Linked DNA regions of Coturnix japonica. The protein of the gene in region 1 interacts with the protein of each later gene in a pairwise test. Links are inferred from orthologs where the notes say so. Each region holds a gene or a part of one and is shown in the gene's direction. Other genes may lie near its edges.

Evidence for each region.
Region 2: the proteins of LNX2 (region 1) and MYLIP interact in binary tests that used the Homo sapiens proteins (3 or more experiments, as listed by UniProt). The link is inferred for Coturnix japonica from reciprocal best matches to the Homo sapiens genes LNX2 and MYLIP.
Region 3: the proteins of LNX2 (region 1) and C6H10orf88 interact in binary tests that used the Homo sapiens proteins (3 or more experiments, as listed by UniProt). The link is inferred for Coturnix japonica from reciprocal best matches to the Homo sapiens genes LNX2 and C10orf88.

What each region holds. Positions count from the first base shown.
Region 1 is NC_029516.1:157,558,911-157,562,951, forward strand, and holds the start of LNX2 (ligand of Numb protein X 2), read left to right. Parts: upstream 1-1,211; 5' UTR 1,212-1,334; intron 1,335-4,041. Other genes in the region: protein POLR1D, read right to left, coding at 865-890.
Region 2 is NC_029517.1:67,510,855-67,515,092, reverse strand, and holds the start of MYLIP (E3 ubiquitin-protein ligase MYLIP), read left to right. Parts: upstream 1-1,425; 5' UTR 1,426-1,576; coding exon 1,577-1,663; intron 1,664-2,274; coding exon 2,275-2,465; intron 2,466-4,238. UniProt on the Homo sapiens protein: E3 ubiquitin-protein ligase that mediates ubiquitination and subsequent proteasomal degradation of myosin regulatory light chain (MRLC), LDLR, VLDLR and LRP8. Activity depends on E2 enzymes of the UBE2D family.
Region 3 is NC_029521.1:27,968,767-27,973,044, reverse strand, and holds the start of C6H10orf88 (ATPase PAAT), read left to right. Parts: upstream 1-1,465; coding exon 1,466-1,602; intron 1,603-1,716; coding exon 1,717-1,917; intron 1,918-2,128; coding exon 2,129-2,201; intron 2,202-2,916; coding exon 2,917-3,123; intron 3,124-3,722; coding exon 3,723-4,186; intron 4,187-4,278. Other genes in the region: disintegrin and metalloproteinase domain-containing protein 9-like, read right to left, coding at 259-472. UniProt on the Homo sapiens protein: ATPase that regulates mitochondrial ABC transporters ABCB7, ABCB8/MITOSUR and ABCB10. Regulates mitochondrial ferric concentration and heme biosynthesis and plays a role in the maintenance of mitochondrial homeostasis and cell survival.

The sequences.
Region 1 (4,041 bases):
TAACCTGTGCCAGTGCCTCACCACAATGATTGTAAAGGAACTTCTTCCTTACATCCAATCTATGTCTCCACTCTCTTGCTTTGAAACCATATCCCCCTGTCCTACTGCAACAGACTCTGTTAAAGCATCTGTCCCCTTCTTTCTTATAGACCCCCTTCACATACTGAAAGGCCATTCTCAGGTCATCCTGGAGCCTTCTCTTCTCCAGGCTGAACAGCCCCAGCTCTCTCAGCCTGTCCTTGTAGGAAGGCATTCCATCCCCTGGGTCATTCTGTGGCCCTCCTCTGGATGTGCTCCAACAGCTCCATGTCTCTCCAGTACTTCAGGTGAGACCTCACCAGCACAGAGCAGAGGGGCAGGATCACTCCCTTGGCCAGCTGGCCATGTTGCTTTGGATGCAGCACAGGTTGGCCTTCTAGATTGCCAGGGCACATTGCTGCTCATGTTTAGCCTGTGATCCAGCAGTACCCCCAGGTCCTTTTTAGCAGGCCTTCCCATCAGCACTCTCAAACACATTTCTTAAAAGTTATGAGACGGAACCATGAGATTCTCAGCCATCACTTCGCTGTAACAGTTCCATGCAGCTGCTTGCAAAAAGTTCAGCCTCTACGCGTTAACCAAATAACTTTAACCACCCATTTATACGACTTTTAAATCTCTCGCGTATAAATGACATTACAAGAGCGGTCCGCATTACGCAGAGATGCGTAGCAATGGGCTGAGGGCTCAGGGCCGAGCACAGGCCGCACAAGCCAGGCCCTACAGGCCGGGAGCCGACACAGGACCAGCCCCAAGGCCTCACTGGCCCTACAAGCGCAGCCCAGAGCGAAGGAGAACCCGCAGCACAGTACGGCCGCCCCTCACCTCTCCAACTCCAGATCCTCCTCCATGGCAGACTACAGCCCGGCTCCTCACGCTGACACAGACGCCATAGCCGCTCTCAGCCCAGCTCCTCGAGGCGGAGCGAGCAGGCGCAGCTCCGGATCCGGCGGGGAGGGGGCGGTGCCGGGCGGGGCGGGGATGGAGCCCTGGCGGCAGCGCTGCCCACCCCGCCCCGCCCCGCCCCGCCCCGCCCCGGGTTGCGCTCCGTAGGGCGGAGGGTCCCTCCCGGCCCGGGGCTGCGGTGCGTCCCGCCTCGGCCGCTCCGCCATAGGCTGAGCCGGCCCCGCGCCCGGCCCCGCGCCCCGGGGCTGCCGCCGGAGTGGCGGAGCGCGGCGTCACTTACGCTGCCCCGGGGGAGGCGGGGAGCGGGGCCGGGCGGTGGGGAGGGAGGCGCCGCGCCGAGTGGCCGCCCGGAGTTCGGCTGCCGCCGTGAGGAGCCGGGTGCCGCCGTGGTAAGTCCGTGCCCCGCAACGCGCTCGGTCCCCTGGGGGCGGCCCGGCCCCTCGTTGCGCTCCGCGGGGCGGGGGCCTCCCCCGGGACAGGGCCGGGCCTGCGGCGGGGCCTGCGGGGCCGCAACAAGTGCGGGAGGGGGAGAGCAGCGCCGGGCCGCTTCGGGGAGTTGTGCTGGAGCCGTGACTCCGGAGTCGCGTTACCGCTGCCTGGGGAGGGCGGAGGGCAGGGAGAGTTGTGGGCAGCGCCGGAGCGCACACATCGATGCCAGGCTGCTCTTTTCTCTCCCCTCTCGTTTAAACCGAAGGTGCGGTTGGAAAACTTGCAGTGCGGCGCCTTGTGAACTTTCCCGAGGCGTGCCGTGTTACTGCTCCTCGCTGTGTGTTGGTGCTCAGCCGAGCGGGTAGGGAGTGCTATGGCACTGACAGGCTGCTCGGCCCCATGGGGCTCCTGTGACCACGCTCCCGGTGCGGGGCGTTGGTTGTTTCCTGCTGTAGGAATCCACCATTAAGTACGCCCGAGCTTCGTTTAATTCCTATTTTAATTACGTGATCTCGTTGCTCTCTGTGTGCGACGGGAAAATGACACGGATCGGCTTTGGGTCGTGTTTGATGCTCTCTGGAAATGCACTCCTGCTCGTAAACGCATCAGAGCTTTTGCTCAGCAGAGACCCAGATCCGAGCTGGGCCCCCGTTAAAGTAAATGAGTGATTTCTGTGTGTCTGCAAACCATTGTCTTCCTTTGGGCTCCACGAAGCTTTGCTGTAAGCTTCAATCCCACCGCAGATCAGGGAGCTTAGGGGGAGCATCAGATGGCTCCGGTTAGCGGCTGTGCACTTGGGAGCAAACACGGCGGTGCCATATGCTGCCGTGACTTCATTACCATCCCTCCAGAGACAAGGTTTGTGAGCACACCTTTGGGAACAACAAAACCGACTGGGACCTTCTTGCATTGACTTCTAAAGTGAGGAATCCCCTCTTTCCTGAAGCCAGTTCTATATGGTTGACTCCAAATGCAGGGAATTGTAAGGATTGCAGTTGTGCTCAACTAAGGTTTTGTTGGCTTTTGAAGTTCTTTATATTAAAGAAAAATATCATGCTTTTAAGTGCTTGTATTATTGAAATTCTAAAATCTTGGAATAAGTGCCTATAAAATGCACATTTTTTTCTTTAATGAGAGCTTTCTATAATGAACTTGTAACTGTCCTGGCTTCTAGTTCTGGTCTGTGACTTCAGCAAGAGATAATCCAGGGCCTTGGACTTGGGTCTACAATGGTTAAATCAACATTATTGCCTAAGGCAGGCTTACATCTTTCATTAACCAAAGCATCATTTAATATTAAGCTGCAGCTTAACAGTGGACTTTGCAAGAGAAATGCCCGCAGCTTCCTGGGTGAAAAGTTCTGCTCTCTTGAGACAGTGAGGTTCATTTAAAAATGAAGCCTATGAAAACCTATTACGCATAAATGCTGGCTTTGATACTGCTGGTTTTTGTGTACATTGGGCATTTGCTCTCACAGGAGCCTTGGTGACCTCAGTAAAACCTGGCATTGCCATGAGCCTTTACCCGCACTGCGTGGCCTCTGAGCCTCAAACTGGGGGTCTGTTTGTGCGCTTGTCTCACTGAAAGCAGTAGAGGTTTGTTGGCTTCCAGCTATAACACTGGAAAATATCCCCCCTCTTTTTAAAATCTCACTTTTTCCTGTGCTCTTAAAATGAATGGCTTGATGTAGCTGAAAGCTACTGTTAAGGAGATGTGGTAACCAGTGATATCACTTTAAAAGTGAAGTGTTTAAGCGTATGATATATATTAGATATTGGATTAATACAAATTGGTGTCATAAATCAGCCCGATGCTGCTTGCTTAAAAAGCCGTGAGATATTATGGTCTGCAATGGGTAAGAAAGCAGCACTCGTGCTGTGCTAAGATGCTCCCTGGTGTAAGAGGCGCCTGGTGACTGATCAGATGCAGCTGTGGCCTGTCTCCGGGACTGGAAAATTCTCAGTTGGTTTGGTCTGCAGAAACAACTTAACATGGCACCGTCAAGTCTTGTGGTTCTTAATTGTTTTATTAGGTCAGTGGCGTTTGCTGAGGAGCTGCAGGGCATGTTGCAGATGAAAATTCTTGTAAATATCATGAATGATGTACTTGCTACACTGTGGTATCCACAGAGCAATAAAAACCCATCAAATTGTGGTGTGTGCTTTTTTCTGTCCCCAATTCTACAGATCTGTGTACTTACATATGTTTAATTCTAAGCATCCAAGTATTTCTTTTGGAATTAGTGGGCCTGTTCTTAGGCTTAGCGCTAAGCCTGCATGTAAACGTTTTCAGGGTCAGGATTTATATTCACAAAGTTCATAGGCTAAACCTGTCATGTGTTTTCATACTGACCGCGCTCTCTTTTGCATGTAACAGTACAAGTGGCTGTTGGCTCCTGGCTTGGCAACGAGAGATGCTGCCTGCTCTGTGGGTGCAGGTTGGGCTGGACCAGGATGCTCTGATGTGCTGCCAGCAGCTGCTGTGTCCATCAGGTTGTTGTGGTGGCGCAGGCTTGCCTGGATGTCTGCCCCTTTTGATCTCTAAGCTCTATGTTTTAATCAGCCCATCCCTTAGTGGTGGTCAAGGCCAGGTTGGATGAGGCCCTGGGAGTGAGGAGTAAGCTGTTCCTTTCTTATTACTAGCTTGTAGGTAGGATCTTTCTTGGGT
Region 2 (4,238 bases), on another chromosome or scaffold:
GAAAGATCGTAACTACGCTACTGGACTCCTCATGAGATTGAGCATCCAGGCAACAGCCTGGAGGCAACTTCCTTGTGAGAGAAACAAGGAGAGATATTAGACTTTATTGGTAACAAGAGCAAATACTGCTGTGTAAGGCTCTAAGTTCAAAGGTCTGGAACTTATCTTTTCCACACAATTGCTTTCTCACAGGCTGTCCATAGAAATGACAGACAAGGAGGCACTACAAACAGTACCTACTGTGTGAAATAGGGTGTGACCAAAAAAGAACCTTGTACAGGGATTACACCTGGGCAATTTATACACAACTCACTACTGTAGTGAAAGATTGATCCATCCTGGAGGCATTGCTATGGTGCAGCACTAAGTATGTCATGACGTATGGCACCAAGGTGGCATGCTGTTGAGCAATGCTCTTCTACCATACTCCATAGTTGAGCATGCATCTGTCAGTGTGCCTCTATGAGTGGTACTGACCCACCAAAGAGCCTAAGTGGGACTGAAAGAGGCTTTGGGCTTTTCATTCAGGCAGAGCCCAACAGACTGCAAAGCACTCTCAATGCCGGAGCTCTCCCTTGTATGTTAGTATAGGACACGGTTCTTTCCTGTCTCCTTGCAGCATGAATAAAACATCACAGAGGGCCTGCAGAAAAGAACGCATTTCTGTGACAGCAGCATCCTGCTGCCACGCTTGAAAATGCTTGTTTTGCACAGGGCTTAACCAACTTATGCGATCTAGTGCTACAAGCTATTTTGGTGGCTTTAGGCTTAGATTTCAAAGCAGGATAGTGCTCCTACAGACATAATAAGAACACCTTCATCTGCGTTAGGTTAGACAAGAAGAAAACACAGGAGGTATGCTGATGTATGCAGAAAATGAGGCCTCTAGGAGGGGAGCCAGACCTATACAGAAAACAAGGAGAGCCAGTTTGTGGTGCATGAGTGGCATGGATGCGTAAGGAATGCCTGTTATCTGTAAGCTGGCCATCACTGTTTGGTGCTGGGTAAAACCAACATCCTGTTACCAGGATTTCTTCGCCTTCCTGCTGCATCTGTGCAAGAAAACAGAAATAAAACAAACTTTTCCTGCCCCCACTCCAAAATAAACTAAGAAACAAGTGGAAAAGGCAAAATATTCGGTGATTTGTGTTGGTGGCTCATCTCCCTGTCATAAATTCCCTTCAAAGGAACTGTTTTTTCCCAAACCCAACCTGCTCTTCCCCCATCCTCATCCCGTCCTTCCTCACCACACCCCCAGGCCGGCAGGGGGCGCCCCACAGCCCCCCCACATCAACCGCAGCCGTTCTCCAGAAGACGGCTGCTCTGATTGGCGGCCGAGCGGCCCGCAGCGGAGAGCGGAGCCCCGCGATTGGTCCGCAGGTGCCGCGCAGGGGGGAGGCAGAGGGTATATAAGGAGGGAGCGGCGGCAGCGGAGCGTGGATAGTGGTTGCGTTGTGTTGGTGTGCGGGTGTGGGCGGCGGGAGGCGCAGCCCGCAAGCACAGCGCCCTTCCCCGTCAGTGCCGGCGTTGGCAGCCGTTCGGTGCGGTGCAGTGGCAGCTCTGGCCGACCCCAGCCATGCTGTGTTATGTGACCAGGCCGGACGCGGTGGTGATGGAGGTGGAGGTAGAGGCGAAAGCCAACGGCGAGGACTGCCTCAACCAGGTGAGGGGCGTCCCCAGTGGGGCGGGTGGCGGTCTCCCCCCCCCCCCCAACCCATTATTTTCTCCCTTTTCCCCCCCCCCCCCCCTTCCATGTTGGATGCGGGTTGCCCGCATCCCTCTCCTCGCCGCTCTCCGGCCCGGCGCTGGTTATCGCCTTTCTCCTTCACTTGTTTGGGAAGGGCGGGCCAACAAGGGGGTGAGAGGGGGGCTGGGGAGGCCTCGGCCTCGCTGCTGCGGCCCCATCTCAACCTCCCCCCATACCCCCCGAGGGATGGGGGGGGCACGGGAGGACCCGTCGGGCCGCTGCGAGGCCGCCCGGGTGGGGCCCGCGGTAGCTGGGGCTGCGGGAAGAGCCGCCCCGTCTGTGCGTGGTGTCTGGGTGAAGCTGAGCCTGTCCCCCCCGGGGGGTCATAAAGTCCGTGTTGTTGTCGGCTAGTGGGGACGTTGCCAGCTTGTTTACGTAGCGCTTTGCACGCCGCTCTTTGGAAATCTGCTCGTATAAAGATGCTTGCAAACAGGGTTTCTCTCTCGTTTCAAGCTGCTCACACTTGAGCCGGGGTATCTTTGTCTAATCGTGTCGTTCGTGCCTTATAAACGACCTCTTTCTTTCAGGTTTGCAGAAGGTTGGGGATCATAGAAGTCGATTATTTCGGACTGCAGTTCACTGGCAGCAAAGGGGAGAATCTATGGCTGAATCTGAGGAACAGGATTTCCCAGCAGATGGATGGTTTAGCTCCTTATCGGTTTAAATTAAGAGTCAAGTTCTTTGTAGAGCCGCATCTTATCTTACAAGAACAGACAAGGTAAGGTAAAGAAGGCTGTAAGCAAAGCTAATTTTGTTCTCAGTTTTGTTAACTTGTGAAAACGATTATGTGGAGGCTCTATTTCTTCCGTCTTCTGATATTCCCTGTTAAACTCAGTTTAAATCCACTATTTAGACGTGTTATTCACTTTCTAGAAAGAAAAAGTAATGGTGTGAGTAGCTAGCAGTAATGTATGTAGTTAATTCCATGAGAAACTGGTGCTGGAAGAAGCTGAGCTAACAGTAACAACTTATTTAGATGGCAAATGTGTGTCCGATAGTAACCCCAGCTCAGTGGTGTTACTGTAGGTCGTTCTAAGGCAGGAAACAATTCCTCCCACAGAGCAAAAACTTGCTGAATTCCTTTTTGTCTGGTATCATGTTACAGTAACTTTCAAACAGCTACAGGCCCTGTGAGGCTACAAAAGAAACAGCTGTTGGGCTTCTGTAGCCTGTCCTAGTAACTAAATTGTTTGCTACCCAGCCTTAAGGTTTGGACTGCTAAGATTAGTGAGGCGTGCTTGCTTTCACTCCTTGAGTTTGATTACTGCCTTACTGCTTGATCTCCAATTGCTTTCTCTTTAAGGAAAGCTGGGTACTAAGTTTAATACTGATTTCTCAACTAATGTTTTTTGTTTTAGGTAGTAAATGGGGCAGATGGAAATCTAGTGTCTGGCTGGTAGTGCCAAAATGTCTTCATTTAGTAGAATGAGTTAGTTAGGTACTGGAATAGGCTCCCCAGGGAGGTGGTTGAATCGCCATCCCTGGTTGTGTTTAAGAGCCGTTTGGATGTGGTGCTCAGGAATACAATTTAGTGTAGGGTTTTTAGAGTTAAGGTTCTGGTTAGGCTACAGTTGGACTTGATGATCTTCAAGGTCTTTTCCAACCTGGGTAATTCTATGATTATCCACTTTTACTTTGTACTATCAGAATTAAGACCACAGACATGACGCCCTTGTTCTGCACAGCATGTTTGTGTAATTAATTTGGTCATAAACTGGCTCTTGATTTGGTGTGTATTTCATAGGAAGGGACGTCTTGAGTTTTTCCTTCCCTAATGTATAGGGGTGAGGCTTTGGGGAGTGGTTATTGCCCAATCTGTTTGAAGTTGAATGCTATTTGTATGACTTTATCTGGCATAATAGATTCAGTTGGGCAAATATAGTCCAACAAATCCAGGATGTCTTTGGGCTCTTACTGAATACTTTTCTTCAAAATGCATATAAGTAAAGAAAGGAGGAAATAAAGGATTTTTATGTAGAACCAAAGAAGCAACAGGGTCTCATTCCTGATGAGGCAGATGAAATTGCTGTGTATGTTGTTGGATGCAGCTCCTCACTCAGGCAAAGCCATTGTGAATCTGAGGAAACAAAGTGCAACTGTGATTGGTGTTTTGCTGTTGCTGCTGAGAGCTTGTTCTGCTTTATATGGCTCTTGCAGACACCTGTCTTCTTACCTTCAACACCATCAGTGCAAGTCTTGGCAGGTTGTGTAAGCTACTAACAGAGCTTGAAGTGGTGAAACACACCCCAAGGGCCTAAAAGGCAGGTTTTGTAGCTAGACTGCAAAATAACTTGTATGTACATACATCAAAGTCATGAGTGTGTTCCACTATAAAGATGACTTTAAGAGGTTGCAGGTGGGATGAGTTCTCTTTTATGTGTGAATTAAGGCTGTTTGAAAGTATTTTAACAAACACGTCTAACACTGAGACTCAGTCAATGAGAGCTCTATTAAAATGAGGCCATGGTGAAAATGAATTGATGATTTGGAG
Region 3 (4,278 bases), on another chromosome or scaffold:
AGGGAAGGGGATGTTTTTATACACCTACTATGTCATAGGAGAAAAAAAAAAACCAATCACAAAGAGCTATAGGCTATCAGAAGCTTCAAACTGCAGGGTTTTCCCTAAGCCAGAGCTTCTTGGATATATCTGCTAACAGCCTAATGCCTAAGGAGAGCTGTGCCTTGGTTTGAAAGGTCTGCGTGTTGCTGGTACTTGGAGAGTACAAGAATTCCTGGATAAACTTGCTGAATACGTAACAGAAACAAAAAATCTTACCTTTCATCCAATGAGAGTTTCCAGTTAAATATAGTCCCAAAGCAAAGAAAAGCAGGCCGTGCTTTAGCATGACTAGATTCCCTGCAGACACCTGGCTCTCAGCTGCTCCACACGGAACTAGAAGAATGAGGAACAGTCTGCTCTGAAGGTAAACAACAGAAAAGGCTCTCGGATACTTCATCTCTGCTAAGGAAACCGGGAAGTAAAAGTTCATCCATTAGGCTTGCAAGAAAACTGGTTAAGCAGCTTAAGGCAAACAAAAAGCAGCGCTCTGAAATGCTGATTGGAGGCAGACAGCCACATCATGCCAGAACCGAGCTGGTTCCTTCTGAAGGACTTTGACTGTAACCACATAACAGAGGTTATGTGAGACTCAAAGTGTCAGGTCTTGCTAGCTGTGATATTTGAGACATTTATGTGCTCTCTGGAATTCCAGCTACTTGTTTTCTATTAGTTTATCTTAGAAATACTTAAATTGCAGTGCGTACCAACACAGCTACATCTAACACAGGGATTTCAGCCACACCCCCCCTGCATTAAGGATAATTCTCCTCACCAAAAGCCTGTGATTTTGAAGGCTTCATCGCTCTTCCAGGATCAGAATAACCTTCCAAAGCACCAAGCAACAACATCAGCATCAAGATTAGGAAGGAAATGAATGCTCCTAAAGCTGAGTGAACACACAACGCATTTCAGAAGCACTGAGCAGCCTTAGAAACCCAAACAGGAGACCCAGGCAACACAGCATTCACACTTAAGACATTTACATGAAGTAATTAATTTTAATGAATTGTAAATTAAAGCAGAGCGAAGCCGTTTCTCCTAGTGCTGGTCAGTAGCATGAAATAACGGCTCAAGTGCAAAAATAAAACAAAAGTCAGAGATATTAGCAGTCGTGTTGTACTGAATAAGGACAATGCAAATCCATCTTCCTATTCCACAGCCCTAATTCACCTCCCTCAGCCCACAAGAACTCGATATCCGAGCTCCCTAGACTCGTATCCACACCAAAACGTAAAGAGACTCCATAAGCCTGGATCCTACTGCAAATTAAACGAGCTCAATCTTTAATTCATGCTCTGCTCTCTACGTGTCACACTATTAACATGCCATAAGCACAACAAGGCGATACAAAACTCCATCAACTCCTGAAGCACTGAGGAGAGCTCAAGCCCGCCCCGCGCATGCGCATTGCCCCGGCCTGGTGATGGCGAGCGGCGGCGCTCTGGGCCTTGCGCCTGCCCTGCATGGCGTGACCGTGGGCTGCTCGTGGCCCTGCGAGCCGCCCGACGGCCTGACCCGGGCTCTATGTGTGCGGAGCGGGGCGGGCTGCGATGAAACGAGGTGAGGGAGGACGAGGAGGAGGTAGCAGAAGCCCTGCGGCCGAGGGGCGGCGGAGGGCCGGGGTGGGGAGGCGGCCTGGAGAGGCAACGCGGCTCTCCCCGCTTCCCTCCTCAGCTGTGAGGCCGTGGTGGTGGTGGAGCGGCGGGATGGCGGCGGGGGTACGCCGTGTGTGCTGCAGCTGGAGTGCCGGAACGGAGCACAGCGGGTGGAGAAGGTCGGTGTGGTGAGCGAGGCCCGGCACATGGAGGTGTACGTGGGAGAGGAGTACTGCGGGACCGGCCGTGGGATGAGCGCTGGAGGCATGCAGCCCCCGGGGTGAGTGAGGAAACACAGCTGGGAGCTGATGGATTTTATTTGTTTTTAATTGGTTGTGAGGCACGTCTGCTTAATGAGTTAAATGAAAACTGTCATTTGCAGCTGTGCTGACCCGTGCTGTGCACACACACAAGGAATCACAACATTAAAACTGCCGCACTGCCCTAAGAAATACGTGTGGTGTCACAGATTGCTCCTTTTGTTTTTGCAGTGAAACTGAAAGTGTGAGTTTATACGAAAAGTATCTGAAATTGGAATGCCCGGCGACCTCTTGTAGGATTAAGGTAGGGAGTTTGGTGGAAATCTATCACTTCTCGTTGTCTTTTCCCGTCCTTGGAGGTGTTCAAGACCAGGTTGGATGGGGCCCTGGGCAACCTGATCTATGGGGTCTCTATGGGGATCTATGGGGTCTCCTGGGCAACCTGATGTAGTAAAGGTGTATGTTCGGTGGCCCTGCCAGGCAGGGGGGTTGGAACTACATGATCCTTGAGGTCCCTTCCAACCCAGGTCATTCTGTGTGATATTCAATCATTTGATTGGCTAAATTGCATTACCCTTCCCCCAATTACTGTTATTTCTATACCATAATCACATTACCACTTAAGACTGTTGTATGGCCTTTATAGCTCTCTTAATTTTCTATCTATGAAGTCACATATGAGAAAGTTGTTACCTCATACAGAAATGCCTTCATAAACCAAATACATTATAGGCAATCTGCAGTTGTAATATAATCAGAACTACTAACTACACTGTGAATGTGTACACTGGTAATGGGAACCCCGTGATGCAGATAAATAAGCTTAGGAAAACCTATACAGCTATTGCTGTATTTAAGTACTAATTGATGCTTTGATCATGCAAGTAACTTCTGTTGAGTCAGAATTCTGACCAAGAGAAAGAAATCAACTTGAATTCCTAACGTATTCATGCAAAGAAACCATTGAATTGTGTTTTTTTCCTTCCTAACCAAGATACCTTTTTTCCTTCTTGCAATAGCTGCTCTCCATTGGTGAGAAACAAAGGGTACTCATCAGTAAGATAATTGTACAAGTGAATACAGTTTCAGCAAAACTAGCAACTGATTTTCCTTCACTAGGATCAAGCATAGATCTAGACAGAGTGCAAACTATAATGGACTCTATGGGATCCAAGTTGTCTCCAGGTGCTCAGCAACTCATGGACATGGTTCGATATCAGCAGAAAGTAAGTTACTGTGCTGCTCCATAGACATCAATAGCGCTGTTCTGTGACTTTGCCTCCTGTGACAGTTAAGCACCTTCTAAGCTGATTCAGTGGAAAAAGTTCTGGTTGTTTTTGGCTTTCCTGTTGCTGCTCTTAAATGCTGCAGTGAATTAAGAACTCAAGGAGTCACATAAAGATCAGAGTTAAGAGCGTTGCATCATTGTCATCATTTTCATCTCCACTGTCGCCCTGTTGTCCGCTTGTCCATTTCACTTGTCACTTCTTGTGATTTCTTCATTGGTGGACATGTTTCTTGTTGCGCTTGGGGTGTAAGTAGATGGATGAGTTTGACTTTGTTGTTATTAAATGCATGACATGAAGTAAGTGAAGTTGTTTTGTTACTCAGAGCAACAAGGTAACAAGCACAGCACATGCAAGGAAAGTTTTTCTATGCTTTGCCCTATGAATATAATTCACAGCTACTTTTTAAGTCATTATATCATGCTAGTAGAATGCTCTAATCACTTGGAGTTAAACTTGTAGCCTGGGTGCTGTTACAGCACAACCTTCAGTATATTTTAGCACTTAATGTTTAAATGTACCTTTCTTCTTCCCATCAGAACAGTTTACCTCTTGGAGACAAACTTAGTTGGATGTTTGGGAAGAACTCAGACTTTGGAAACAAGCATCCGGTAGATGGATTACATGGTGCAGCCATTCAGACATCACTACATCAATCAGTCACTGAATCTTCATCAGTCAGAAGTCCTTTAACAAGTGAAACAGGATGTGAAAACTTAAATCTTGATCTGAAAGCACAGGTTCCTGAAGGAGAGGATGTTTCTAACTCTAAAGAACTTAATACACAGCAGAATACAGCTGACCTCAGAAATTATTTCAAAGCTATGGGGTCTTTGCTTATGCAGGAGCAAACAGATGGAATGCGGAACGTAGCTGCCCCACAGATGCTCCTTCCTTTTCTTCAGAACTTATGCAGTCAAGTTAATCATCTTCGGCTAAAAGACAGTGAAAGGCATCTCGATAAAAGCGTGGTGACTAAAGAAGAGGGCATTCAAACTGTTGGGTAAGTTAACTTAACTAGCAGCTTGTGCGTATTAGCAAGTCTAAATGAGTACACAAGCATTTTATTCTCACTGTTTGTACCAACAGTGCAGC